4 linked regions of the Tamandua tetradactyla genome follow. The protein of the gene in region 3 interacts with the protein of the main gene of each other region in a pairwise test. Links are inferred from orthologs where the notes say so. Each region holds a gene or a part of one and is shown on either strand. Other genes may lie near its edges.

What was found.
Region 1: the proteins of EXOC5 (region 3) and RAB4B interact in binary tests that used the Homo sapiens proteins (3 or more experiments, as listed by UniProt). The two-hybrid records come from large-scale screens. The link is inferred for Tamandua tetradactyla from reciprocal best matches to the Homo sapiens genes EXOC5 and RAB4B.
Region 2: the proteins of EXOC5 (region 3) and DEUP1 interact in binary tests that used the Homo sapiens proteins (3 or more experiments, as listed by UniProt). The two-hybrid records come from large-scale screens. The link is inferred for Tamandua tetradactyla from reciprocal best matches to the Homo sapiens genes EXOC5 and DEUP1.
Region 4: the proteins of EXOC5 (region 3) and TNPO2 interact in binary tests that used the Homo sapiens proteins (3 or more experiments, as listed by UniProt). The two-hybrid records come from large-scale screens. The link is inferred for Tamandua tetradactyla from reciprocal best matches to the Homo sapiens genes EXOC5 and TNPO2.

The regions. Positions count from the first base shown.
Region 1 is NC_135342.1:23,355,258-23,362,809, forward strand, and holds the start of RAB4B (ras-related protein Rab-4B), read right to left. Parts: upstream 3,015-7,552; 5' UTR 2,581-3,014; coding exon 2,565-2,580; intron 1,303-2,564; coding exon 1,222-1,302; intron 986-1,221; coding exon 871-985; intron 1-870. Other genes in the region: MIA (melanoma-derived growth regulatory protein), read right to left, coding at 3,540-3,563, 3,901-4,011, 4,508-4,641, 4,727-4,883. UniProt on the Homo sapiens protein: The small GTPases Rab are key regulators of intracellular membrane trafficking, from the formation of transport vesicles to their fusion with membranes.
Region 2 is NC_135334.1:49,843,348-49,850,337, forward strand, and holds the start of DEUP1 (deuterosome assembly protein 1), read right to left. Parts: upstream 3,003-6,990; 5' UTR 2,816-3,002; intron 2,322-2,815; exon of another isoform or gene 2,225-2,321; intron 1,171-2,224; exon of another isoform or gene 1,129-1,170; 5' UTR 1,103-1,128; coding exon 1,056-1,102; exon of another isoform or gene 521-1,055; intron 1-520. UniProt on the Homo sapiens protein: Key structural component of the deuterosome, a structure that promotes de novo centriole amplification in multiciliated cells.
Region 3 is NC_135338.1:8,508,716-8,516,406, reverse strand, and holds the start of EXOC5 (exocyst complex component 5), read right to left. Parts: upstream 3,013-7,691; 5' UTR 2,998-3,012; coding exon 2,914-2,997; intron 1-2,913. UniProt on the Homo sapiens protein: Component of the exocyst complex involved in the docking of exocytic vesicles with fusion sites on the plasma membrane.
Region 4 is NC_135337.1:89,880,390-89,888,238, reverse strand, and holds the start of TNPO2 (transportin-2), read right to left. Parts: upstream 3,013-7,849; 5' UTR 2,739-3,012; intron 1,251-2,738; 5' UTR 1,238-1,250; coding exon 1,139-1,237; intron 446-1,138; coding exon 370-445; intron 291-369; coding exon 141-290; intron 1-140. Other genes in the region: TRIR (telomerase RNA component interacting RNase), read right to left, coding at 7,261-7,368, 7,635-7,712. UniProt on the Homo sapiens protein: Probably functions in nuclear protein import as nuclear transport receptor. Serves as receptor for nuclear localization signals (NLS) in cargo substrates.

The sequences.
Region 1 (7,552 bases), on a different chromosome or scaffold from region 3:
TGTGTTGGGGAGGCCCTCTTCCCAGTGTGGGTCCCTGTGAAACTCATGGAATCATTCCACAAACATTTATTGGGCACCCAGCCCAAGTTCTACCCCCATCACTTCTCCCTGTCTCTGAACTCTGGATGTCATAGATTTAATCAACATCTGGATATTTTACTTAGCCATTACTAAATGCTACCCAAAGACTACACTTCCCCATGGTTTGGACTCCCTCTATTTCTCTCTCCCTGCTCTCTGCTCTGGCCCAGACTCTATCTCAGTACTTCTGTTTGTCTCTACTCTTCTGCAGACATTTCCTTCAGACCTACTCTGTGCCCAGCCTTATGCATTTCTCTCTCCCTCAACACATCCATCTCTCCACTTCTCTGGCTACACCTATTCAACTCTCCCTGTCTCTGTCTATGGAACTCGGTTTCTCTTTGCCTCTCCTTATTTCTCTTATCTTTCTCATCTCTTTCAGCCAGTCTTTCTTTCTCTCTCCCTTTGCATGTATATCTGTCTTTCCCTCTCTCTGTTTTAGTTTCCCTCTCAACCTCTCCCATCCCCAAGCTTCCCTTTCTCTTTGGGACACTTCTCCTCTGGGCACATGTCTGCAAAGTGCCTCTCATGATCTGTCTCTCTACCAGGCTCTCTCACTCTTTGTGCTTCTTTCACTCTCTCTTTTCTCTCACTCTCTTTGTCTTTCCCTTTCCAGGAGTCCTTCTCTCCTTGACCAAAGGTATCTGCTAATCATGGTCTCCTCCTTCTCACTCTCTGTCTTGTCTGCCATCTCAGTGTCTCCTTGTTCCTACTGCTGAGTCTCTGAGTGACTCCGAACATTCTCTCTTCTCTCTCCTTGGGAGGCCAACCCACCCAGAGCCCACCTACCGAAACCGCTCCTGGCCAGCCGTATCCCAAATCTGTAGCTTCACTGTCTTCCCGCCCACGTTGACTACCCGGGATCCAAACTCCACGCCGATCGTGTGGTTGGAGTCCTGTTTGACTAGGAGTCAAAAGGAAAGAGGGGACAGTGCAGGGGCTGCAAGGATCCCCAACCTTCCAAGGCTTCCTCAGCCTCCTCAAACTTATCTTTCTTACTGGGGGGAGTGAGGTTCAAGGAGGACCTAGCAAAGAACACATATCAAGGAAAGGACCAGGATTTGCCCCCAGCTACCGACCTGCCCACACCATGCCCATGCCCATAGCTTGGTGCTCCCAGGGCCACTACTAGAAACTTACACTTATTCTCAATGAACTGATGAAGGAGACATGATTTGCCAGTTCCTGCACTGCCGATCACCAGGAATTTGAAGAGGAAGTCTGGGCAAATGGAGCCAGAGATGGGGATGACCACAGGGAGAAAAGAGTAAAGAGAAAAACACAGAAACCAAGAGATGGACACAGTTTTAGGGAGAGAAACACATACAGGGGAAACCACAGCAAAAGACAACAATAGTAACAGATGACATTGTGCTTATGATGCATCTGGCACTGTTCTACAGTTCTTTATTTATATCAACAGCTCACTTAATGCTCCAGAAAACTCTATAAGGGAGGTATACTATATTATCCTTATTTTCCAGATGAGGAAACTGAAACCAGAGGTTAAGTGACTTGCTCAATGTAGCACAGCTGGGAAGTAGCAGAGTTGAAATTCAAACCCAGGCCAACTGGCTCCATAGGCCAAGATCTTAACTATTACAGTGTTGAAGCCTCTTGGAAGGCCATTTTATCAAGAACTACAAAGCTCTATCAGATCTGGCCCTGTCCTTCTCAAATTCATCTCCTACATCTCTGACTCACTCACTCCACCTTAGCCTTCACTCTGTTTCCTGAAAATTACTAGTTTTTTTACTAGTTTAATGAGTCTGGTCTCATTAAACTAGTAAAATTACTGCACTCTGTTTCCTGAAAAGGTGCTAGTTACCACCTCGGGGGCTTTGCACTTGACACTGCCTTTTTCTATTTGTTGAATGAATGCAGCCCCCTCTGATTTTTAAACCAGGACTCTTTACTGCAACTTCCCCACACACTCACTTCTCTTACTGTACATATATCCTGATTTTTCCAATTCCAGAATTCCTTCTTGTGCTCTTCTACTCAAGCTTAAACCCCACCCCTAACTCAGGGACAACCCATCCCTATTTCCACTCCAGACCTCTCAAGCCAAATCAGCCCCAGGATCCAGAACATCCCTCAGGCTCCCCTCAATCTTCCCTCCATCTCATTAAGCCCTTCTCCTGCCATTCACACAGTCCCGCCGATCCCTTCCACTCAAGCCCCGCCCCGATATATTAAGGCCCACCCCTTCCCTCAAGGCCTATCCTGAATCCACCAAGACCTTCTCCCTCAAATCCCGCCCCACATCTATTTAACCCATACACCAGCCCCTCAGGCTCCGCCCAAATCGGTTAAACTTAGACCCAGACTCATTAAACCCCTCCCCGTATCCACTAAGCCCAGCCCCATAACACCAAACCCCGCCCCCTGGTATATCAAGCCCCGCCCCATTTCCACAGGCCGCATCCTCTGAGGGTCCAGACCCCAGACCCCAGACCCCAGCTAAGGCCAACCACCCTCACCGTAGGTCTCGGCCATGACTCGGTCACGGCCGCTTAGGGTCGCAATATGGCGCCGCGGCCGCGCCTGCTCCTCGCTGGCAGCCGCTCCACTCCGGCTGCAGCCCCGGCTCCTTCCTACTCCCCGGGCCGGTGCCGCCACTTCCGCCTCCACTCCCCTCCGGCGCGACCCACTAGGGCTGCGGGATACCGGGCCACGCTTCCCGAAGGGAGGGATTGGTGGACTCGGCAGGCAGGGGGCGGGACAAAAGATGCGGATTGGTGGTGTGAGAGGGCCTTAGAAGAAAAGGGCGGGACCAACACGAGCGATTGGCGGAGCAAGAGAGAGGATCGGCGCAGGGATGCTTCACGGAGCAGAGGAACGGATTTGGTCAGGAGTCTTGGGAGAATCGAGATTCCGGATTGGGTAAGGGAGGACTTGGGGGCGGGGATGCGAATGCAAAGAAGGGGGCAGGGACAGGATTGACAGGGTCTGGAAAAGGAACTGATCTTCCGCTAGCGGGTACAATTTCTGACCTCAAATGCGTAAAGGATGAAAAGTAAGGAGATTGGCGCAGATTACCGCCCACCTCTCTTTGCGGATAACCTTCCTTCCAAGAAAACCTCTGCGATTTATGCCCTCCTCATGGTCTAATTGGCTCATTCCCAATAGTTCAGCTCCCTCCCATTGGTCTAGAGAGGACACTACATTCTCCCAGTTGGGCCGTTTAGATCATTCTTCTTATTTACTGGTGGCCGACGTCTAACTTTAGGAACCCGCCGCAGGTACTCAGTTCAGAGCAAAGAGCGTGTCATCAAAGAAAATCTGCCTAGCAACCACTGACATTGCCTCATTCAGTGGGTTGATTGGCCAGATTCAGAAACCTTTCCTTTTTCCATCCCCATCCCACCCCAAAGACCACAGAAATCAGCAATTTGCACTTTGATGTATTCGCATAAAACAGGAGAGGCAAGACAGCAGACGGCGGTAGGCTGAGCTCACTGGCAGTAGAAATCCCATTTCTGAAAAAGAAGAAAGGGGAAACACGCACAGAAAAAACCGAGAGGTCGCACCACAAAGGATCTAGTGGTTTCAGCCAAGCTGTAAACATAAAGGAGCAGATTTGGCCCCGCAAGGGTCATTCATATCAGCCCAGAACCCTTTCATCTTTGTACCTCCCAAATGGAACGGGGCTTAGAATCACTTAGAATTTTATTGGTGAGAAAATGGGTGCAAGGAAAGAGTTTGTCCCAGCATTAGGCCATGGGAGAGCTAAGGATAAAAGTATCTTTGCCAAGCCATCCCAACCCAAGGGTCCTCCCACCTGTTCTCCTCCTCCACGCCCCTCAGGACACTCACATCTGTCTTCACATCGATTTTGCCAGGTTTTAGGGTCTGGTCCTCTCGTACAATGCTACTGGGGAAATAGCCCAGGCGGGCAGCCAGGTCTCCATAGTAATCTCCCTGAACCTGGGGAACAGTAGTTAAAAGCTGGGTCTGGGAAGATGACTCACTCCTTCCGCTGAAGGCCGTTGGACTCTGTCTCCTCACCCTGGTCTCCACGTGGCTGGCTCCATCCTAGTCATTCAAATCTCTCAGCTTAAATGTCACCTGCTCAGAGGCCTTCCCTGACCACCTGATATAAAGTGGTCACCCAGTCACTATATTAATTCTCAAAGTAGCACATACTTGCTGATATTTTTGTTGACTCACTTGTTGTCTCTACCCACTAGAATAAAAGGGATCATTCACTATTGTATTTTCAATGTCTAGAACATAACCTAGCACCAGAGTAAGTGCCCCATAATTGCTAAACAAAGTAAAAACAAAGTAGGTCCTGATATCCACCCCCCCAAATTTTTCATCTATTTCCGTTCCCTCCCTTAAATTTTCCCTTTAGGTGGAAAATTGGGGTCCACCGCATCCCAGCCCCCTACCCCTCGCTTTTTGGGGAGACAAGACTCACACTGCCTCCCCAGAAGAGCCTCCCTCGGTCCTTCAGCTTAGAGAAGACATACACCACTTGGCCCCTGTGTATGGTTAGGAAACGGCAGTCGGGGGCCACGTAGTCCTGAAGGGCCACAGCCACGGAGATGGGGTCTAGAGAAGGAAAAGAAGGGACTGACAGGACCCACACACACCAGCTGGCATCCCAGGCTCCCAAGTGCCCCATCCTCATACTTACGGCTGCATTCCTCATCAGCACACAGCTTTCGGTCAGCTAGCTTTGGCATCGGGCGGCCTGCGACACTTGGCCCTGGGAAGGCAAACAGCAAGACAATGACACTGAGGAACACTGAAGACAAAGCCATCGTGGACTGAGCAAGAGACCTGGGGGGCATGGGGTCTCCAATTTCTCCCACGTTCCCTCTCTCCAGCAGCACAAGGAAACCAGTGTTCTCTGTCTTGTCCCCGCCCTAAACCGGTCCCAAATTTTGCCCACACCAGCTAGAAGCTGCTACCCAGCCAGAACCATTTCAAGGACAGGGTGAGACGTGCCAGCCCATGAAATACCAGACAGGCTCAAAGCAGCCCAGACCACTCCAAGTGGCAACCACCCCCTCACGAATCAGGGAAGTCCAGGCAGGCAAGTTGAGATATTCAATTCCATCTTCTCTTGGGCCTGCTTAGGTACCTGAGCCCCTCTGCTTTCCCCTCCAGGGACAGAACCAGAGGAGCCAGCAGAGAAAACCACCTTGGAATTTCCTGTGCTGAGGGGCGAGAACAGGCAGCCCTTTGATTGCCAGTCACAGCCTCAGCTCTCAAGTACTGAGAGAATACTGTTCATTGGCTGTAGGCTAGTCAGTGTCCTCCCATGATTGCTGTTAATCTACCAGTTAATAGCTAATAGTTACTGAGCAATCACCATGTATATATTTTTAAAAGTGTTTTAATTTATTGGCTCAAATTTATGCTCTCACTTTGGGACTTTTATAACCCCATCTTAAAAGGAAATGAAAGCACAGAGGGATTAAGAAAGTTGTTTGAGGTTACAGAGCTAGGAAGGGGAAGGACTAGGTTTGTCTCCAGGCCCATACCATTCACTATGCCACCCTACCTCATAGGACTCTTATGAGGATTAAATACCCAATTCAGAGGGAACACAGAGGACAAAGGAATATCCAACATCACAAGGATGCAATCAGCAAAATCTAGACTATAAGACAACCTGGTTTCTTCAACTAATAAACTGAAGGGAAAAAATTTAGAGATATTGAAGGCTGGCCTTTATTAAAAACAACTGAATGGACATGTTTACCTGTCACGAAGTGTGAACCTTATTTGGATCCTGACTCAAAGTGTATACAATCTTGGGTATTAAAATACTGGAATTTTGAACAGATTAGATATTTAATGATGTTAAAAATTGGTTCTTTTTAGGTATGATCATGGTATCGTGATTATATCTTTATTTCTTAGGCATATACCTAAATTATTTACTGATACTAAAATATAGGATGTCTGGGATTTGTTTCAAAATAGTCCACAAAGGAGAGAAAGTGGGAAGGGGCTTGGATGAAACATAATATGGATGAAACATAACAGGTAAAGCTGGTAGAGGGAATATGGGAATTTAGTAGGTTATTTTGTCTTCTTTTGTGTGTTTAAATTTTAACATTAAAAAAAAATTATTCCTTGATTCAATATTTATTGAGTACATCATATGCTGGGCCCTGATCTAGGCACTGAAGATTCATCAAGGAATGAAAACCAAGGCAAACAATTATATCATAAGACAACAAGGATGTAGATGAGATTGTTTATGAATTATTAAGAGGGGTACTTAGAAATGAGAACATGGTATTAATCAGCCATGGAGATCACAGTCCCCATATTACTGATGAAGAAACTAAGAGGGGGAAGAAATTACTTCATTTGCCAAAACCCAATATATTTGTTATCTATTGCTGCAAAACTAGTTACACTGTTTAAACTTAGTAGTTTAAAGCAACTAGGCTTTATTAACAGTGTTTCTACGGGTCAGGAATCTAGGCATGGCTTAGTTGAGCCTCTAGCACAAGGTCTCCCACGAGGCTGCAGTTTCATCTGAAGGATAAACTGGAGGAGGATCTGCACTCGAGTGGCTATATATAGGCAGGATTCAGTTCCTGTAGAAACTGGACCAAGACTCTGCTTTTCAATGGCCATCCACTTAAGGCTCTTCCTCAGTTCCCTGCCACATGCATCTCTCCAGTTAGCTCACAATATGGCAGCTGGCTTTCCTCAGAGAAAGCAAGATGGAGGCCAATTTTTGGAATCTAATCTCAAAAGCAACATTCCATCATTTCTGCTGTATTCATTTGAAGCAACTTGCAAGTGCTGGGAACATTGGGTATCATCTTGGAAGCTGCCTACAACACCCAAACTTCGTATCATTACCCATGAAGCCTCTATGCATTGGCCATGCTGACCTCCCCAGTCCACTTTATCTTACTCCAGCCACGAGGGCCATTTGGGTAGTATGATTCTACTTAACAAACCATGAATGGCACCCCCAGAGTTATGGAAAACAGTGCTCAACAAGTTTCACTTCTTTCTAGTACTCAACACTTCAACTCACTTCTACCTCAGGGCCTTTGCACCTCCCCCAGATCTTCACATGGCGGATTGCTTTGTATAACTTGATGTTCAGCTCAAACGTCACTTTCTCAGCTTGGTTCTTTACAGATCACCCTCTGCAAAACTGCCTCCTTGATTGGAATTTCCATACAGCTGAAGAAACTGAGGCTCAGAAGAGTATAGTCACTTGCCCAAGGTTAGAATGATAAAGTGGCAGGATTCAAACTCACTTCTCAGCTCCAAGCCGTGCTTCAGATCCAAGCTGAGGATCATTCTCCACAGCACCTGTCTCTTCCAGGAATTCCCACCTCTGAGCTGAGGCTTCATTAGTAGTGAAGGCTGAGTCTAAACCATCACTACACACCCAGTACCAAGTAGAAAACAGAAAACAACCCTACTCCAACATCCCCTCCTCAGAGGGGCTTTCCTTGATGGCCCATTACTGTCCCTT
Region 2 (6,990 bases), on a different chromosome or scaffold from region 3:
ATTATTATATGAGTCAGAAACAAACTTCATTCTTATTAAGCCATTGTATTATTTTCAGGTCTCTTTGTTACAAGACTTTAGACTATATACTAATTAATATACTCAGTTTTCTTAGTTGTAAAATGAGAATAATATTTAGCAGGGCTGTTGTATGGAGGATTATGAAGTAGGAGTTAAAAAAGCGATAGCTATTTTTATCCGGACTTTTTTAGTTTTACTTCTTCCTGATGTCAAGGCCATGGTTTGAGTAGAAAAACTGACGGTGAGACACCTGGAGTGGTTTGACCACAACCAGGTCAGTCACAGTCAAGAGTAGGAACTATGGTAATCCTGCCAGTGAAACAGCAGGAAGAGGAACCTTTGTAGTGCTGGTGGCAGGAAGAGGATGGGGATAGATATTTCTGAAAAGGATTTTGATTGAATTTCTAGGATATAGAATGCTATACAAATTGCAAACTCTATTCCTTACCTCCCCATGAAACTTTTGATAAAATACCCAGCTCTTATTGCTGTTTCGTAGAGTTGTATTTATTCTGGAACTTGTGGTGAAGTGCTGAGTTCAGCCTGAAGGGCAAGAATGGAGGAAGCGAGAATGCAAGAAAGGAATAAGCTGGCCATGAGCTGTTGCAGTGTGAGAATCCAAGACTGCACAAAGGCTGCAAGGTTGGTTCCCCTGGGTGTGTGCATCTATCCCATGAAGCCACTGGACAAAGTCACTGAAAGTTGGAAAATGGCGATCGTCTTTGGACACCTCTGGTGTACAATATACAGAGTCAAAATTCAAAAGACTCATGCTGGGCAGGCCACTGTGGCTCACCAGGCAGAGTTCTCGACTGCCATGCCAGAGACCTGAGTTTGATTCCTGGTGCCTACCCATGCAAAAAAAGATTCATGCCATAGATTCTTAATTACAGTCTCTTGAAATTCCCCCCACCCTCTTCACCAAAAATAATTGGCACATCTTTCTATTAATATGAAATTTCAAAACTCATGCATAGTCCATGATTTTTGACAAAGTAAAATACCAACTTATTAAACAGATTTGCAGCACTTACCCCGTAGTATTAGGAGCCTTGTTCTCCATGTCAAGAAGCTGTTGCATCTGGTTTATGGTTCTTAATTTTTAATCTGCTGGAGAGAAAAATGATCTAGATTCCTAAAATGCTTACAATTATGAATGTATAAAACATAAAAATTTTGCTTTTAGCAAACTATTTAATGTTAGTTTCTCTGAGATAGTAGTAACTCTTGGTTCTACAAAATGAAGAAACGGGCTTATTTGGGGGGGGAGGGAGGAGTGCTCCTTTGTATTTATGACATAGGCTTAGTGATGAGTTGAAATATGTGGTACTGACTGAAATTGGCATTCGTTCCCTATTTGTTGGACAACAGCTAGATACCAGGTGCTTTGCAGAGTGCTCAGTACATGGGGATGAGTAAACTGGAATTCTTACTCAAAGGAATTCCAGCTAGATTTTCTCAAACTTTCCTTTCCTGTGAATCCCCTAAATGGCATGCCTTTATTTGAGTAAATTCTTTCTCTGGCCATTTCTGGGGTCTGTTAACATAAACATACCAAGAGTTAAGGACAGAAGCCTGAAGAACTTTCTAAAAATACAAATCTTACAGTTCCTTAATGGTTCTATGGGCACTGGCTCACTCTCTTGACAAAATGAGCTTATGTACTTGCCTAACACAAGATAGTATTTCCCCCAGCAACAGTTTTATTTTATAATTAGTATATGAAGATAAATGGACAAAGTATTGAAAAAGAATTCAACTCCGAATTACTGAATAAAAGTCAATGAAAGCGCATTTATGGTTGTAGAAAGAGGAGGAGGAAGATCCCGGGATTCATGCCACCCAAATCAGAGGAATTTAAGGGAGATCCTACAGTTGTGGGTGAAGAGGAGGGGCGAAAAGCAGGGGCGGTGAATGAAAACTTGAGCAGCAAGAACGGATGAATAAACAGTTTCGTCAGTTCTCAAATCCCTCACTTTCACGTCAGGGAAACGGAGGCACAAATTAAGTGACTTGCCTAAGGCCACACAATTAGAACCTACACTTCAAAGTCCTTGCATCCCGGGCTCTTTCCCACCCGCCGCGTGCACAGTCTCCCCCAGCCTCCTGGGGTAACCCCTGCCTCTAGGATTGCGGGTGCCAGCCCGGCCGACGCGAGAGGGACCGGGGTGAGGTGGGCAGGGGAGGCCCGGGGCCCTGTTACCTGTCTGTGCCGCGCCGCGCCGGCCGCGCCTGCCCGGGAGGTCTGAGGCCCCGGGAGCAGGAACGCGGGGAGCCCTCCCGCCCGCCCGAGGGGCCCTGCGCCCGCCGCGCGCTCCCGCCGCCCCGGCCCGCCAGCCGCGCGGCCTCTCCCGCTCCGCCTGCCGCGCCTCCTGGTTGTCATGGGGACGCGGGCCGAACTCGCCGCCGCCGCGGTAGAGGGCAGGGGCGGCGGGGCGCTGCGGCGCCGGCTGACTCGCTGGAGGTGGCGGCGGGACGGCCCGGCCAGCAGCCTCTTCACCCCAAGCGAGCGCGGCCTGGCTGTCCCGCAGTTAGGCGTGTGGTGCCTGCTCACTAGTCAGAGGGCTCCCCGATACAGGCTGGGTCCCTTCCTGCCTGTGGCTCCAGTGCCTAGCCCGCTACCCGACGCCCAACACAGGCCCCATAAAGGTTTGTCGAATGACTGAAGGAATGAAATAATGAAGGAACAAAGGGTAAATGGCTGGGGGTTCCATATTCAGGTGACTTCACCACCCCCCCGGTTCCCAGCCTCTTCTCCCCAAGTTTGAAACAGGATGAAAAATAAACTGGGTACTTTTCCTTTCTATTCGCCAGTGTCTTCCAGCTGGGAAGGGCTGGATTTCTTTAAATGCACAGCTCAGTCCACCGCCACTTCTGTCGCCCTAACAGCAGCATTTGTGCCTGTCTTTCCCATACAACTGGGTCTGTAATTTAGGCAGAGCCGATAGTATTGTCTTCCTTTTAGGTATGAAGAAATAATTCTCAAGTGAGGGAACTAGAACGGAACCCGGGGTGGCTGATTCCAAATTCTTTTCTTTTCTCCACCAAATTCCAGGAATAATTGATGACAGCAGCCCTGTCCTACCGCCCTGATTTCACAGAATGTCGGGAAGGGCTATATGTTTATTATATATTATAGGTCATATTTTTATAAATTATATTGCTTTCTTGAGGGAATTATTTTTAAGCACTTGAATTTTGTGTTTGAAAATATTCTTGCATCTATTTTAGGAACAGAATTCCTTCCTAATACATCGAGTTGATTAGCTTCTAATTCTTAAAATCTTTTATTTGTACTCCTCTTCATAACATTAACATTAATTTGCTACTTTAATATGGCTATCAACTTAATATAGACTCATCCCTCCATCCAGGTTCCATTTAAATTTCATGAAACCATTTGCTATTTCTTGACAAATTGAGTCTCTTAGATGAATTGTATAAAGTAACACAGGTTATTAGTTATAATAGGTGTTTCATAGAGCTATTCATATTATTGAATGAAGAGAGTGATCATTTCATCATAACTTGAAATTTTCCATTATTCTGAAAGCCTTGGCCATGTTGGTCCTTCCTCTTTACACTGAATGCTTTGATGTAGGTTTCCTGACTTTAGAAAGGGAAAAAGAACTTGGAAAAAAATGTAAGTAAGTTCCAGGATACCCAAGGTAACTCAAGCTTGTATAGCTCTTTACCATTGGTAAGTACTTTCACATTCAGTATTTCTTTAGATGCTCAGAAATTCTTGTTTGTGAAGCTGAGTGTAGCAACGATTATTAATAGCAACTCCAGGTTCGAGATCTCCAAGATGATACATCTAATTCAAGTACAGCTAAGATATGAGTGTAGGGCATCTTACTCCAAATCCAGAGCTCTTCAAATTCTGCCTAAAAGCCCTAAGTATAGCAGTCAGGATTTTGCATAGGTACCTGAAGAGGTATTTAAAGCCATAATTTCACAAGAAAGAATGCCTATGTCTGGGCTTGTAAGACATAAGTATGTGAGAGGACACATACTCTGATAGATTTTAGGAAAATGGAAAAAAAAGAATAGGAGTTTTCCGTTCAATTCAAATAAGATTAAGACTTTCATTTCAAGATGAGCATTAAGGCTAAAAATGCAAAGACCTGCCCCTTCTCCAGTAAGGAGTGTTTGCGATGATTTGAATTCACCCTGATATATTCCTGTTAATAGATCCTTTCAGGTGAGCTGTTTTGAAAAGGGATGAGCACAGGGGGAAGGCCCTGAATCTACAGGAGGGAAAGAGTGTGATCAGGATGAACAGGTACCTAAAAGGAGCTGGTGAATGATGCAAGGGAGCCCAGTCCTGAAAGAGAATTAAAGGATACAACAGTGTGATAAGATATAAAATATAACCAGAAATACTCAAAAGAGAGTATAGGAGGCATAAATGATTGATGGAAACAGGATGATCTGTGGAAGAAAATCTAAGGGACCAAATAAATAATAATCATAATGAATTGAATGAATCGAATCTTGAAAACTGAAAAACCTTTATTAACAAAAATAGTGTTGTGGAAAATTTTATAATAGCAATATAGAAAACAAGCATGCTACTTTAACATATGCATGTTTAAATAAACTAACATGTATCCACTGGAAATAGTATAGAATGATTAAAATGAAATTCTGTCTTTGCATCAAAAAAGCAAATATTTATTTTATATTATTTTCAAAAGTTGGTTCAAACATTTATATGCATTATAATAAAAGCTAAGTAAAATCCTATTTATAGAAATATTTTAGAAAAATTTTAACATCATAATAATCAAATAATCATAGAATTGGAAGAAACCATAGAGGGGAACCAGTTCAAACTCTTCATTTTCTGTAAAGAAACTCAGACCTAAAGAGGTAAAATTATCTGATAGTCATGTTTTTAGTTACTAGGCTGAAACACAGGATGTTTTTCTGATAATACTGAGCCACTTCTATAAATGGAAGAAGGTTTAAGGAATTTTTTGTAGACGCTTCAATACTTATTCTAGTTGAGAAAATAATTCGGAAAGAGGAGATTTAGTGCTTAGAATCAAGGTCATTCTAGAGCAGTGCTGTTCAATAGAAATATAATATGAGCCACTTGTGATTTTAAATATTCTAGTAACCACATTAAAATGAGTAAAAAGAAACAGGTGAAACTATCATTAATAATATATTTTATTATTATATCTAAGATAACATTTTGACATATTATCCATACGAAATAGTAAAAATGAGACATTTCACCTTTTTGTATTAAGTTTTCAAAACCTGATATGTAGTTCACACTTACAACACAATCAGTTCATACAAGCCATATTTCAAGTACTCAGTAGCCACGTGTGATTGGTGGTCACCCTATCGGATAGTGCTACCTTAGAATATGGGTATCTGGTCAATGTGCTGAAGCCCTTTGTTAAGCGTGAAAGGTCATGCAATAAGACAGAGACTGAATTGTTTGATTGTAATTTGAGAGGTACCATGAAAGACTCTTGCTGCAAAATCTTGATGAATTGGCTCTGGTTGGGTTAGGAATTCAACATAAATGGGGCCTTTCCGACCAATCAGGGTGACACCTTTCACTGCGTCATGCCTGGTCACCGTCCTGCCAAACCTTCCTGGTACGGCTGCTTCTCTAAAGAGAATCTAGACCAGGTTGGGAGGGCCCTCTCTCTTAAACTTGGCTGATCAGGGATCCAGGTGCCAAGGGGTGCGCGTCCTCCTGATGGGTATTAGGAGCATCAGTTCTCATTTTGAGATCAGAAAACAAAACTATATTCTTTAGAAAACATCTTTCATGATTTTTTTTTTCTCCCTGTAAGTTCCTTCTTACTAATGCTTAGTGTTTTAGCACTGTGGTTTTTGAAATCTCATCCTCTCTTGGCTAGCTAAGGAAAATCAAGGGAGAGGGGGATTTTGTACAGTTCTGAGTTAAAGTTTTATGGATAAAATAGCTTATTTCCTAGCAGTAGCAATCCCTAAACGAAAGACCCTCGGGGGGGGAGGGTCTCCTTCTCTGGGCTGGAGCCCATGCCAGGTACCTCTATAGCACTCTACCTGTATCTCTGTATCATGCTCTCAAAATGATTTAAGTTGGTTTTGATTGTCGTTTTTGACTGTAGGAAACTGTCAGCTTTTCTCATTAAGACCCCCTGGCTGCTTGAATAGAGAGATCCATGTCCTCAAGCAAGAGAGAATTTACTCTAAGAATACTACTTCTTTAGATTAGTCTTTTCCTTACCCCTTAGATTAGGGTGGGCACACCTACCAAACTCCCTTACAGTGTCCTGAACTTCTCCTTTTGTAGCATTTGTTACACTTTTGTAATGAATTAGTTTGTAAAAACGTTCATTTAATAATCTCTCTTCCCTGGTAGACTATAAGCTCCATATGGGATAAGACTGATCTTTTTGCTGTTGTATTTCCCAGGACTTAGCACAGTGTCTAGAGTGGTCATACTCTATAAGAATTTGCTAGAAAGAATGAATGATTGATATGGATGTGAACTGTAAGTGGGAAATGCCAGGGATCAAAGCAGCTGTGGGACCAGGCTATATTCTCCCTGTCCTGGATGCCATGGAGACTTGATACAAGTCAGCTTCTCTCTGACTCTATTTTTTAAAACCAAATACCTTCTTCTACTCTTCTATGTACTCGATTTCAGCCCTTTCATAACTTTGGTCTGATTTGGTTTTGGTTTGTCATAACACTAATACTACATCATAGCATTCTTTTATTTTTTCTCTATGGCTAACCAGTGACTTCTTTTTGTGTGTCTTAGTTGACATTCTTTTTTTAAAATATTTTTTATTGAGAAATATTCATACATATACAGTCCATACATGGTATACAATCAAGGGCTGACAATATGATCACATAGTTGTGTATTCATCACCAGGATCATTTTTAGAACATTTGCATCATTCCAGGAAAATAAATAAAAAGAAAAAAGAAAAATTTCATACATCC
Region 3 (7,691 bases):
GGGATCCCCTCAGCTGCAGAAAACCACCTTACCCAATGTCATACCTTTCCCAGAGTGACTCATAGCTAATGACTGATTAAGAAGGATGACTCTAACAGGCCATTTTAGCTCCAAATCTCCCTATAGCATTCAACCTTTAGGGTCAGCATTGTAGTTCTACTTCTCCTTTTGCCCAGTGTTGCTTCCTTACCCTGCAACTTCACAGATGTGGCTCTCAAGGGTATTTTCAATAAACATTCTACACACTAAACTCTGCTTCAGAATTTGCTTCCCAGAATATCCAAACTATGACTCTGTAGTAATCCAGTCAAGAAACGTTAGTGCCTCACACAAAGGTGGCAGTGGACGGAGTGCTGAGAAATAATCAGATTCATGGTATTTTGAAGGATGTACTAATAGGAATTGCTGATGGACTGGATATAGGGAGAAAAAAGAAAAAACTGAGTTATGGACTTGTAAAGACCTGAGGCCAGAACAGAGGTTTGAGGCCTGAAAGGTGGTGGGGAAGACTGAGAAAGGAGATGGATGAGAAACTGGGGAAACAATAGCTATGCTCTGAATATTATATTGGAGATGTCTATTAGATACAAAATGAAAAGACAGAGACTATAGTTGGAAAAACAAGTTTGTGCTATCAGGAAGAAACTGGAGCTAGATATAATTTTAGAGTCATCAACATATAGGTAGGTGGTTATTTAAAACCTCAGGTCTAAATGAAATCATCTAGGAGGGAAAAGGACACGACAGCATTTGGACAAGAAAAGGAAAAAGGATCCAAAAAAGAGACAAAGTAGAAGCGACCAGTGAGAGAAGAGGAGAATTAGAAAACAAGTGTCTGAGGTTTTATCTTCAGAGTCAATAACACTATCTATTACGAGGTTTTAAAGATAAACGTCTTACTGCTCCTAATGGGATGGAGATTAAAAAAAAAACTTTCTGCTTATAAAAACTAATAAACGCAATACCTTGCTCTCTAATAACTAAGGCTGTTTCAAAGACATTTACAATTATAAAAAAAAATTAATACATCCTAAAACCTTTAACTGACCAAGGCCTCCAAAAAGGTCTCTCAAAGATATCTGTAAACATCTGCCCAAAAAAATTTCTGAATTTTGCAAGTGACAAAGGTAAATGTTCATCTTATTTTAATACAGTAATTAAACACAAAAATTAACAAAACAAAAACAAAAATTGAAGAACTATGCCCTGTAGACTAATATAAAATGATATTAAATTCAATACTGGTAACTGTGTTGCTGTTAAACTGGTATCATTATTTATAAATGCTACCAATTGTAAGATGAAACATGGTGTGTCTGTGATCATTTCCATAAAAAATAATGACACCAAACCTTTGGACAAGAACCTAAAGCCCTAATTTAACAGTTTCTTGAAAAAGAATCCAACTAAATTTTTTATTTTCTTATAGCACCTTTTTCTAGAATAGATCTAATAAAATGTGTAAGAACCACACACAAATTCAAAGAAACCAGTACATTCATCTTCATCCTGACTTTAAAAAAAAGTATTTCAGAGAGGTATTTCTATATCCTATTAAACCAACTAACCCAAGGGTTCAAGTTCTACCTGTAACGTGTATTCCTTAATTTTAGTGCACTGCAAAACAAATCTTTAAAAATCTTTAGACAGACATTTCCTTTTGTGATTCCTATACTCTCAAGTTCACACTCCTCTGCCTACCCTTTAAGGTCCTTATCTTGCTCTACCTGCTCAAATTTCTCTAAACCCCAGAATGAACACCATATTCCTATCATCATATTTCATTCTTCTCTTCAAATCCACGCTACTACTGCTTCCTGTGGACAGGTAACCCACCCCTTTCTCCCCTCACAATTCAAACACCACTATACCATTATTCAAAGCCTGGCTCAATTTCCATTTCTTCCTTGAAGGTAGTTTCTTCTCCACATTATCTCCACTTATTTCTCCACTCTTACATCCCTTTGAGTTGTAAAAAGTCATATCCCTACACAGAGCAAACTATTACCAGTTGTCATTTGTTTTATAACCATTTTTGTAAGGTTTGCTTTTCTCTTCACACTTAAATTGAAAGCAAGGGCAGGATCTGTCTCACGCCTCTCTTGCTTTTCACCTGTGGTGAACAGAGCACTGATGAGCACACAGCAGATGTACAATAAAGCAAATTACTGGCGAGTGGGGCCAGGGCCAAATCCTCTACAGAGCATCTTGAAAATCAGCCAAGATCCATGTATAAAAATCAAGACAAAAAGGGTCACCACCCCCACCCTCCCAAAAAAAGAACAGACATAACATGGTGCTATAAATCCAAGACTGTAATATAAACCAACTATGAGCTGAGGCAAATTGTGACGCTGGAACTAAATGAATTTTACCATGTTTGATTTTTTTTCTAATTCCACCTGATCTGCTTTTTCTGGAAATCTTTGCGGTTTTACTTGAATAAATAAATGAATTATGTTTATTGAATATTTTTTTAGAGTACTATAAAAAATGCTTTGCCTCAAGCTAGGCAAAATAGGATTCAAAGGTAGAATGGAAATGTACAGGATAACGTTCAAGAAGGGAACATGAACTTTGCCTCTCTTTGGGAAGTGTCAACATCACATTGTGGTATGGAAGATCTTGCTGTAGCCATTTTGGAAAATATAATCTTCCCTTTTTGTAATTCTCCCCTAGTGTAATCTTCTAGCTCTGATCATTTCTTCCCAGTCTTCTTTGTAGTGAATCACCAACCATCTACTTTCTAAAATTCAAAAATATGGAATAAATTCAACTCCTCAGTCATCAAATTCTTTCAGTTCTACCTCCAATATATCACTTAAATTCCCTCTCTTCTCTATCCCCATTGAATCAAGTCAAGATTTCCTCTGCCTAGAGTAATCAATCAAGAGACAATTCTAGAACACCTACCAAATAGCAAGAAGTATGCCAAACTACCCAAGTCCTTTTATTTCCCCAGTTAACAATCTCTCTCCACTTAAGGTCATTCTTCATACTATCAGGAAAATTATCTGGAGAAAAGAAAAGAAAAAAGTCATGTCAGCCCCCTTAAGAATGGCCTATATGGCCTTCTGAAACTTTCCAACAAACTACCGCTATGGTTTCAATGTCTTGTTATGAACCATCACTCCCTATTCCCAAAACAAGTATATACACATTCTACCTCTTTTCCATATTTCCTGAACACACCTCACGTTACAAACTGGAACCTCTTACATGCTACATCTTCTATCTCTGCCTTGGAATGCCCTTCTACTTGGAATTTTTCTACTCATTCATCAAGATACAATTTATATGTCATTACTCTGTTACCATGGAACTAATTATCCCAGGAAGCACTTCTGTATTCCCATTGCACTATATTATCTGTTAACATGTCTGTTGCCTCCAATTAGATTTTTATCTTAAACCATCTTTAAACTCCATCAACTGGAATGATGCCTGGCAGAGGGTGGGTCAAGCACTCAATACATTTACTGAATGAATACATTTTTTTTCATAAATGATAATATAGTAGTAGTCAGCTTCCACAAATGTTTATTTAACAACTGTTATGGCTAAAACAGACTGCTTTTCAGCACTCTGAAGTTGAAGAGATGGTCCTTACTTGTATTATCTCAAGTTCCTTAAAATATACTTGGCTTTATAACTGAACAGGAGGGACTTCTTTTTACCCAAATCTGTTTAAATAGCTTTTGTAACTTGGTTTGAAAATCTAAGGGACATATTAATGTGTTTCTGTGGGAAAATGTGTTCTTGACTATTCAAATTCTAATTTGGAAGTCATAAAGCTGCTACCACTATATGCGAATTACCTAACTTTGTTACTTTCCTGCTCAGACACTTTAATCCTATGTTTACAGAAGGAAAAATCCAATTCCTAATTCTGGTATTTCCAGGCCTCCACAATCAGATCTCAATTTAACTTACATGGCACTACTCCTCTTCATACATGCTTTACCCCACTCAAAATGAACTCTTCTTTTGTTTCCAGGACACACAATTACCTTTCTTTATGTTTTGGCTTTTCTTGTCTATTTTACTGAATAGCCTCTCTACCCTGTTCCAAAAATTCAAATCAAAGCTATCCCTTTGGATCATTCAAACACCATCTTCTAATCCTTTCCCTCTTCTAGAGGCAGTCTTTCCATCCTCTCAACTCTTTATCAAGAATTCTTTGATACCACTTATAACTTTATTTAGAGTACATGAACATACGAAAAGACAACCTCTGGAATAGAAGAAAATAATTTCAAATCATATATCAGATAAAAGTTTAATATACAAAACATATAAAGAACTTTGTTGTTTACAACGCAACACAAAAAGACAAACAACCCAATTAAAAACTGGGCACAAAAATGAGAGCAGGGAACTCCAGGACTCACTACTTCCTTAAAACAGCTACTGTCTAAAACAACTGTTCTGGGGCTTTGGAGGCCAGAGGAGCACTGTTCAGCATCCAGGGAAGAGCGGGAGAAAGGGGCTGAGAAAATGTGGTAAAAGAACCATGCGTAGCTCATTCCACGGCAGCTGACAACACCCGTCAAAGGCGACCATATGAGGTCCGGTCCCTGTTTGGCTGTTGTAGACAGAGAGGGATGTGGAAGTCCTTGTCCCAAAGAATAGTGTATGTGTGTTGGGGAGGTGGGGGAGGGTACATGGCCAAACTCTGATCACAACTGTTGCTTGGAAAATTTGTATTACTGGGTTTTGGCTCAGAACTGCTGTTTTAGCCCACTATGGACAAGGATGGCAATGGTCATTGTTTCAATTCTGCCATCGTCATGGGCATAAGTGGTGGAGGTTTAAAGACCCAGTACTAAGGGTGGTGCAACGGTGGCTCAGTGGCAAAATTCTCACCTGCTATTCCAGAGACCTGGGTTCGATTCCCAGAGCCTGCCCATGTCCAAAAAAAAGATACAGTATTTATATAGGGCTGCGGGGAACAGTTTGCTGAATGGTGCCATCTGCTGGGCAGACCAGGAAAGTGCAACTTACGGGACTTGTCAAAAAAGCTTTTGGTGTCCTCCCTAACCATGCCCACAGAGTTCTCTGGACCAGGTCTGCACTTCCTTCGTGGGGCTGGGGCCCCGTTTTGGCTCAGAAAACTAACTTGGGAAAGTCCCCTTTCTTGTGACCCTCCTCCCCAGAATGTACCCTCCAGGCAAATGCAACAAGAGGCAGCAAAAGCAGTGTAAAAAACACACCATAGAGGCTAAACAAAAACTAAAGGAGAAGATCAAGAACGCCACAGAAGAAACAGGATTCCCAGGAAAAGAAGCTTTCTCCTTTCTTTTCTGGAGGTGAAACAATTGCACACATAGTGCAATCTTAAAAACTGTACTGCAAATTCAGGGCAAGAATCAAATGAAGAAGAGTTGAAATAATATGATCAGTTGAACATGGGCAATTCTAAAGGTCTAGAATAAGTTGAACTAAGTGTGAAAGAAGAGCTTTAACAAAAAGAACAATCAACAATAAAATCCTAGGCAAGAGTGTGAAACTGATCTTTGGAGTAAAGTCATTAAGATAATCAGTAGCCCAGACATTACCAATAAGTTACAAGCCTTACCAAGAAACAGAAAGATACGGCCCAATCAAAGGAACAAATTAAAACTTTGGAGGAGACACAGAATTTGGAACAACTAATCAAAGATGCTCAAACAAATCTAAATCAACTAAAGAAGGTTAAGGAAATTATAGTAAAAGAGATCAAGGATATTAAGACACTAGATGAGCATAGAGAAGAATCTGAAAGTACAAAAAGGACCAAAATAGAAATTATGTGAATGAAAGGCATCATAGAAGAAATCAGAAATATACTAGTGGCACACAAAAGCAGATATGAATAATAAGAAAGAATCAGTGAACTGGTAGGCAGAACAACCAAAACTATACAGACAGAAGAACAAATAATGAAAATCATAAAAACAAGTAGGATCTCAAGGATTTGAATGACAGCACAAAGTGCACAAACACATGTGTCATAGGCATCCAAGAAGGAGAAGAGCAGAGAAAAGAGGCAGAAAGAATATTTGAGGAAATAATCACCAACTCTTATGAAAGACATAAATATACATATCCAAGAAGCGTAATGTACACCAAACAAAATAATCCTAATAGACTTATTCTGGGACACACTAATCAGAATGCCAAATATCAAAGATCCTGAAAGAAGCAAGAAAAAAAATGATCCACCACATATAAGGGAACCAAATAAGACTAAGTTTTGATTTCTCATCAGAAACCATGTAGAAAAGAAGGCAGTGGAATGATACATTTAAAATATAAAAAGAGGAAAAACTACCAGCCAAGAATTCTTTATCTGGTAAAACTGTCCTTCAAAAATGAGGGCAAGTGTAAAATATTCAGATACACAGAACTGAGAGAATATCATCAATGAGAGACCTTCCCTACAGGAAATTAAAGGAGTTCTGCAGGGTGAAAAGAAAAGACAGGGGTGAGATGTGTGGAGGAGAGCGTATAAATGAAAATTATCAGTAAGGATAACTAGAAGGTTGAAAAAAAGAGACAAAAATAAGATACAACATATGAAAACCAAAAGATAAAATGCTGGAAGTATACTACCTTTACAGTAATAGAATTAAATGACAACAGATTAAACTCCCCAATCAACAGAGATTGGCAACAGGGATAAAAAATTATGACCAACTAAATGCTGCCTACAAGAGACACAACTTAGATCCAAAGACTCATAGGTTGAGAGTGAAAGGTTGGAAAAGTTAGCCAGACAAAGACTAACCAAAAAAGACCTGGGGTAGCTATACTAATATCAGACTAATAATGTGAAAATGTTAAAAGAGACAACACTACATATTAATGAAAAAGGCAATTCACCAAGAAGAAATAAAAATCATTAATATTTATGCACGGAGCCATGGTTCTCCAAAGTACAGACAAAAGCTGGCAAAGTGAAGGGAGAAATAGACATCTCACGATAAAAGTTGTAGAACTGAGCACACAGCTCTCACCCATACATAGAATATCTAGTCAGATAATCAGTAAGGAGATTGAGAACTTGAATAACGTGATACATGAACTAGACCAAACATATATAGAACACTGCAATCCCAAACAGCAGGATATACATTCTTCTCAAGTACTCATGGATCATTCTTCAGGAGAGACCATATGCTGGATCACAAAATTTTAAAAGACCAAAATTACACAAAGCATCTCCCCTTGCCCACAATGGCGTAAAGCTAGAAATCAATAACAGGTAGAGAACTGGAAAATCACAAATACATGGAAGGTAAACAACACACTCTTAAACAATCAGTGTGTCAAAGAGTACACTACAAGAAATATCAGTAAATATCTCGAAGTGAATGAAAATGAGAACACAACATATCAAAACTTATGGAATGCACTGAAAGTAGGCCTCAGAGGGAAATTTTTGCCTTAAATGCCTACATTAAAAAGTGAGCTAAACTGCACGTGAGGTATAGGTTTTTTTTTCTCTCTATTATCGTTTCAATTCTTATTCGGTTGTCTTTTTATTTCTTTTTCTAAATCGATGCAAATGTACTAAGAAATGATGAATATGCAACTATGTGATGATATTAAGAATTACTGATTGTACATGTAGAATGGAATGATTTCTAAATGTTTTGTTAATTTTTTTTAATAAAAAAAAAGTGAGCTAAAGTAAAAAACCTAAATGC
Region 4 (7,849 bases), on a different chromosome or scaffold from region 3:
GAGGATGCTGGGGGCATTTGGTGACGTGATACGTTAAACAGCCTTAGAAGCTTCTTGGCAGGGAATGAGAGCTCAGCGTTCATTCTCGTGCTCTCCTTCAGAGGCCAACCGCATTGCCCCCGGCCCTGATGTCCCCTCACCGATGGTGGCTCGGATGAGCGAGGAGGCATCGCCAATGTTGTTGAGACACTCTTGTTTGATGAAGTCTGCCACGGGCGGCGGGAAGCTCTGGTAATGTGCCTTCACGTTGTTCTTAAGGATAAGGCCACTGAGAGAGCGGGTCGGTTCATCTGTGGGGAGAGGGCTGAGGCTTAGGGGACCACCGGGACAAAGTGGGGGGCAGCTGCAGGGAGGTCACAGAATGCGTACCTTCTGACTTTAGTCTGGTCAGGACGAAGATCAGGTAGTTGTTGAAGTCAGGAAACTGGTTGAGTTGTTTGAGTTTCTGCCAGGCTGTTAAGGGATGTGGGAGACGGGGCCACCCCAGGCAGGGTGCCTCACTGTCACCCTCGTATAGATGACAGCACCTCTAGGACCCCACTCTGGTCCCAGAATAAGACAGAACATCTCAGCGGGGAGAGGGGGTTTTGGGGAGGGAGCACATGCCTGAGCTTCCTAGCCTGACTTTTTGAAAAAAAGAGTACAAATTTTCAAGTGAAACCTGCTTATATTTTAAACGTTGACAACTAATTGGAGAAAAAACATTTAACCATAAAGCCTAAATAAAATATGATTGCCAGCTGGAGGTTCCCCCACCAACTTACCCACCCATTTCCCCCCTAAGCTCTGACTTGTCAGTTAAAAGCTTGCACTCAGGCATCACACAGGTCTGGCCTTGCCAGCTGGGCTCCACTAATTACTGACTGGGGCAACTCATACTGCCTAAGCCTCAATTTCCTCAGCTGTAAAATGGGGAGAATAACAGTACCTCCTTGAATCTAGTGCTTCAGGAACATTAGGTGTCTCTAATATTTTCCATAGCAATCCCTCCAGCTCTGGGAAGGGGATCCGGGATTCTAATCACTTATTCAAGGTTGGGGCCTCACCACAGCAGTCTCAGGATTCGACCCTGGCCCCTCCCACCTTTGGGGGCTGCTGGTGCAGGGTTTCCCGAGCGCCCGGAAGGAAAGAAGGATACATCCTGTACAATGCGCTGCGTGGCTGTATTGGGTGACTGTGAGTCTTTGAGCAGCTGCAGGACCTGCTGCAGACCCTGCTCGTCAGGCTGCCAGTCCATGATGCAAGGCGGGCTGTGGGGATGGGGCCGGGGTCAACGCTGGGTCCCAGGGACTCCATCTCAGACTTGGGCTGAGCCCGGGGGGTGGCGGCAGCAGGACAAACGCACCCTCCGTGGACAGGCGGGGGCCGCTGATCCACACCCGCCCGAGCGCAGGTTCCCTGCCAGCTGCGCCATCCTTGGCCGCGCAATTATGGGCTCGGAAGTGCTGGCTGGGGTATGTGGAAGCAGGCCACGGGTGGTGGAGGGGCCGGCGGACCTTCCTCCCGCAAAGCATGGAGAAACCCTTGTCCCACAGTGCCCAATGCCGCCGCCTCTAGCTACGGACACTAAGGCTTCCGCCTCCCTTGCAGTCACTGCATGAGGGCTCTGGCACCTCCAAGTCCAGGAATCTCTCTCCAGACCGCGATAGCTCCCAGTCCCCATGGTCTCCCCAAGACAGGAAGAGTCCGCGAAGATTTCCCTCTTCCTCCTCCTTCCAAAATCTGGCCCTCAAACTCCACCAGATCCCAGCCACCCCTGAGCAGACCGGCCCCTGGTCCTTTCCCAGGCGCACAGTCCCAAGGCAATCCGATCCTCCCGCTCCCTGCCACCTCCCTTAACCTAGCCTTCCAAGCTCAGCCAAATACCAGATGACCCCCAAATCAGGCCCGAAGCATGGGTCACCGAGGCTGCTCCCGATGAGAGCCAGCCAAGCTCGTCTACCCGGCGACACAAGCCCCTGGGACGGGTCCCTGTCGCCTTTCCCAATCAGATCCTGCCAAGCCTCCCCTTGCCCTCCCTCCTCCTCCTCCAAGTCAGCAGTAACTCGCAGTGACCCACCTCCGCTGCTTCCCCCAATCAAGTTCGCCCAAGCCCCTCCACCATATCTAGCCAAAAACCCCCTTCTGTCCGATCCCTGCAGCTTCCCTCCTTGTCCCCCCCACCCCCACCCCGCCCAGTAAGGCCTGGCCGAACATGTCCTGAAGCATCCCCCGCCCCCAATGGACTCCAGAGAAGCCCCGCTGGGGGACCCAGCAAAGCCCTAAAGGCCGAAATCAGCCGCCCCTCCCCATCAGGACCCAACAAGCCCCCACCCCACAGCTTTTCCATGCGGCCTCCCCAATCAGACCCAGCCATGCCACACCGAAACAGTCCCCCCCGCCACACACACACACCCGATCCTAGCGACGTGTCCCAATCAGGCCCTAAGCAGACCCCAGTCGCTTCCCCCAATCAGATCCCCTCCAGGTCGACGCAGCAGCCCCACTGGCCCGATTCTCGCGGCACCCTGACCCGGCCCGGTTCCGAGGCCCCACCCCCCTCAGCCCGGCTCGACTACCCCCTCCCCCGCCCCGGCCCGTTCTCGCTGCCTCGCGGATCCGGCCCAACCAGGTCCCGGCCTTCCCGGGTCGGGCGCGGCCCCGATACTCGGGCCGCGCGCGGCGCAGGCCCGGAGCCCTGTGGGGGTCGGCGCAGGCCCGGGCTGAGCCCAGTCGGGCTCCGGGTGAGGCCCACTTACCGGGCCCCGGGCGGCGGCGGCGCCTCGCGCTGAGGCTTCTCCTGAGACTCGCGCGGAAGAAGGGAGCCAAAGAGAGAATAAGGAAAAGAAAAAAAAAGAGAGAACGCGGGCGCGAGTGAGCAGCTGCGGCTTCCGTACGCCGTTCAAACTGGCCCAACAGAACCAATCGTAAGGCGCTGCTGTCACACGTGGCCTGACACCGAGAGAGGCCCGGGCCCCGCCACGGCTAGGTCACGTGAGGAAAGAGTTGGCGCCTCTCTGGCCGGAGGGTCCTCCCGAGTCTCGTTTCCTCAGCCTCTCCCCCACCCCCGTCACCGGCCTGACTGCAGCTCTTTACTGAAAGACAGGAGTTTGGTGGCGCGTGGGACGTTCGGTGTGAGGCAGTCTCGTGAACCGCTCGGCCAGATCCCTTGGCCAGATGTGCCCTGGTCACCCTCCCCTCTAAGAATGTGAACCGTACCTCCCTCTCCCATCCAGAGGGCACTTGAAAGGACTAAGCCTGGGGTGGACTTTGTACCCCAGAGACAAAGGAAAGAAAGCAAGACAAAAGGATTGCCTGTATTTACCGAAGACTCTGCCACTTTTTGCGTTATTTTCCTGGACTGTTTGGCAGTTTTACGAGAACATGAAAAAGCCACAGAGACAAGCTTTTAAATAAATTTAAAGACCCAATAAAATAAACCCCGGAGCGGATGGGCCTAATCTATCCCCTACAATGGGTTAGATGGAGCCCACGAAACTGAGGCTAGGGCAGGATAGTGAACAGTCTGGGAAGAGTAAGGCATTTTTTGTCTCTCTAAAGCGTCCGGCTTTCCCCTTTCGCCTTGCCACTCGGAGGGTGGGTGACCTCCTGCCACTCGAAGCCTCAGTTTCCCCACTTGTGAAACGGAACTAATTAGAGTTTGCTCAGAGATAATCCAAGTTAAGCATTACCAAGCCTACTGTTGTAAATTGTTCTTAGAAAACGTGATCAAGGCCTTCCTTTCAAAGGATTCAGCCCCCTCCCTAAATATTGACTGGAATCACTCAGGGCTCTAATCTGAAAGGCAATCCCGCCCTGCCTGTTCTGAGGGATTCTGGGGACCTCCTGAGAGGAGATGGAGGAGGGCAGCCCCCTTCCCGTTGGCAAAGTCAGCCCTGGCTCCGTTCACTCAAGAAAAACACACATAAGACCTCTCTGGACCGAGCCCTGGGACCTCAGACTCGGAAAGGGTCACCTGGCATCTAACTCCAACCCGAGACTCGCGAAGTCTCACTAAAGGAGAAAGAGGGATTCCCCTCGTAGTCCAACCAGCTGCACAGAAACTGGCTGTGAGAGACACGTGCGGAAAGCCGCCGTTTACGCACGCGCAAAGTTCCTCCCCTTGGCCTGGAACTACAAATCCCGTCATGCCTCGCGCCCAGACCGCGGAGCTTCGGAGTTTTGGCTGTGACCCAAACGTGGGCGGGCTGGGTGTGGAGCGCAAGGCTGCGATTGGGGGCTGGGGCTATGTTTGGGGGTTCCTGGACGCGGGGTGACCAATAGGAGCTCTCTGGTCAGAGTTGAGGAGGTGGCCCAGGTAGGGAGATGAGGGAGAGAAGTTGTTTAGACTCAGCACCACCCTCTTTGTAGGTCAAGTTGCCTGCTCCCTTGCTCAAGCTTTGGGGGCGAGCAGGAGTCGGGGCAGAACAGTGGCCCCTGCTGCCCACGTGGTTCACATTTCTGGCGCTCGCGTGGTCACGGAAGTCTTCTTTCGTCCTCTCCCCCGGAGATGCATTTGAGTGCTGAATCGGGACAAGTCGTTTTCCTATCTTAGACACCTAGCGCGCGCGTCAGGCAGTTTTATGCAATTCTCAGGACGGCCATGTGCCCGGCAAACATTTGGATTCAACTAGAAGCGATTAATGCAAAGAGAAACTCAAGGAGGTGGTGCGGGACCGTGAATCTGAGATGAGAGACAAACGCGCTCTCAGTTTACAAGGGCCTCTCTGTGCGCCTTGAAAGGGCAGCATTTTTCAAACAGAGCCCTAAACGAGCCAGCTGCTTCACCTAACGAAGCAAAGAGCCGTTTTAAGCTGTGTCAAAGTTCAAGTTGACGGTGTGAATATTGCCCTTACTTTAGAATTTGACTCTAGAGATGAGTCTGTATTTTTACCCCTATTTAGTGGAAGAATCTGAAATGCAAGATGGCACAACAAGCATCAGAATAGAGTTTGAAACCAGCCCTGTTTGATTCACAGAAACCTGAATTTGATCCTCCTGCCTTTCAGACTTTTTCCCAGGTCATTGCTGGTGGGTCCAGGGAAGGGAGGTGCCTGAACTTCACTAGTTCCTCCTGCCACCTAACACTTAAGAATAGAGGCTGAGCCTCTGCAGGGGCGACCTACTTCTCCCGCTTGTATTCCTCTGAGTTTCTTTTTAAAGATTCAGCAATGCTGGTGGCTTTGAATGAGGAAGAGGTGGGGTGTTCCCTTGGCATCATTGTCTCTCCACACACACATTCTGTCCCCAAGGCCAAAGTCACACCTGGGCCAGCCCAGCACCCCCAAATTAGGAGGAAGAGATTTTTTAGTTGATATGGAAAAACCAACCACATAAGCATTATTGTGCATTAGCGTGAAGGGAGAGGGAGCAGGTAGCCTGGTCCAAAGCCTGCTGGCCATTGCTTTGACAAGCCAGGTGTAGTTTCACCTTGAGGTCTTTGCACCTTCTGTTCCTTTTGTCTGCACACTCTTCTATACATGTTCTCTCAACTGTCCCACCTCTTTTGAACTGGGAACAAACTTCACCTCAGGGAAGCCATCCCTGATCAACTTAAGATTGCCATCTCTCACACCCTCATCTTGGCCCCCTTTTTATGTTTTTTTCTTAATGTACGACCATCCCATGTGCTCTGCATTTCATTTATTGTGTTTCTTCTGTTTCCCCTAACTAGAATGTCAGCTCCATGAGGACAGAGGCTTTTTGTCTGTTTTGGTGACTGCTTCATCTCCAAATACAGTAGATACTCAATATTTAAGTGAATTTTCTCTCTCTCTCTCTCTCTCTCACACACACACACACGCTCCTCCTGACATGATCTCACCATCTTTATGCCAGGAGGGAACCACCCTCAGCCCTCTCTGAGGACCAGAGCTATCTGCCCTTCCATTCTCTGCCTCCATGGGCCAGTGAGGAACAGTCCTCTCTCACTTGACAGTAGAAACCCAGTACAGGGGTGGGAAGGAGTGTCAAGGCTGCTCAGTGTTCCTGCCTGGTGGTCCCCTGGCCAAGGGCCCAGATGTCACTCCAGGATTTGTGGATTTGAGATGGGGCCGGAGAGTAAAGGTTTCAGTGGGAGCATGTTTAGGCATTTGTGGGCTTGGTGGAGGTAAAGATTCAGGATGGGCAGGTGGGGCCAGAGAAATGCAAGGAACACCAGAGGGTACTAGGGAAGTCAAAGTTCCTTTAAGATATCCCATCCCTTGACATGTCATATTCTGCAAAGTGGGACAAACGTGTCCCTTTGTCCTAATTCTCTTGAGCATATATACCTCTGGGCTGAGCAGACCACAGGCTCCCTAGGAGGAGGTCCAAGGAGTTGGGAGGACTGAGGGCCCTTTTCCTGTATTTTGCAGTGTGGAACAGCTTCTCTGGATTCAGGATCCCAGACCTCCTTCCCTGCTCCTCTGCCAACACTCCAGCTTCAGGCACTGTAGCCTCCTGTGTCCTGTTCCAAGTCCCCCCCATACCCCTTCAGTGAGCCTCACTCCCTGTGCTGGTCACACTGGCCTCCTCAAAGACCCCCATAAGGGCAAGTCCTCTCTCACCTCAGTCTTTGCCCGGCTGTCCCTCTACCTGAGCAGTTGCCACTCAAATGCTCTCCCCTTTGTGGAGGCAAGGAGCGCGCCCTGTTCTGCTCACTGCAGTGGCCCAGGGTTTGGAACAGGGCTGCGCATAACAGGCGCTCAATGAGCGTCTGCTGAGAACACTTTAACAGCTTGGCTCAGTCAAAATGGAAGTGGAAAGAAACGGAAGCTAAATAGCTACAGTGAGGGGACGGTCAGGGGTGGGGAGAAGGGGGTTAATAAACCCTGCGAAGTATCCAAGTCGGCAAGAAGGATTCTGTCCCTGAGCATCCAGTCCCCTCAAATGGCCAGACCAGGCTTTGGTGGGTGTGCTTGCTGGTGGGGGGAAGGTGTACATTAGAGAGCAAAGAAAGCCGACCACGCATACGACTCCAGCACTAAATCAAGTTCTTTACTTCCCAGAAGTGATGACTAAGGGGAAGGAAAGGAGGGTGGGAGAAGAGGAAGACAGAGAGAGCCAGAGAGAGTGGGGCAGCGGGAAGAGGGTGGACAGTAAACCACTGTTCTATGAAGTCTCAGGAGGCAAGTGCTCAAGGTAAAAAAGAGTCCTGGAGAATCGTCCGCGGCTGCAGGAAAACATCTCGGTGTCCTTCTGTGTATAAGTCCTCGGGGGGAAGGCTGCTGCCGCTGCTGCCACATTAAATAGTATGTACATCGCAAAGAGTCCAAGGCCATGGGCAGGTGGGGGGAGGGGTCATTTCACCAGGGGCCGAGTCTTATCGTCGTCACCACACTGGTGGGCTTTGTACTTTTTCACCTCTGCCATGTACTTGGCCCACGCGTCACCTTTACTTGTTAATACCTGGGACGGAGGAGGAAGAGGAGCAAAGGGGTGGGGGGGTGGGATGTCAGGGAGGCTCTGATCTGAGGTCAAGACTATCCAGAGGCAGCTACCCACCCCGAGTGCTGCCCTTCCAGAAGGGCCTAGGTGTGAGGGAAAAGACAGGCAGGGTCAAGATATCTGGGGATTCTGTGTAAGGCCCTTCTTCCCCACCAGCACCACTCTGGGAGGGACTGGGCTCAGGAGAAAGACAGGGTAGGCGCCCCCGCACACCAACACCTGCTCACCTCGTCTTCCGTCTTCTGCTTCTTGGCTACTATTCCCGTCTTGAGGGCTAGTTTGTTCCCGCCTCTGCGCTTGCCCACCTGGGTGAAGGGACAGAAGACTGCAACGGTTACGGGAGCCGGGGCCCGCCCGTGGCGGTGCTGAGGCCCACTACACCTTCCTAGCCTGGCCTGGCGGCCCGTCCTGACGCCGCGCCCAGCTCCGCCAGCCGGCCAAC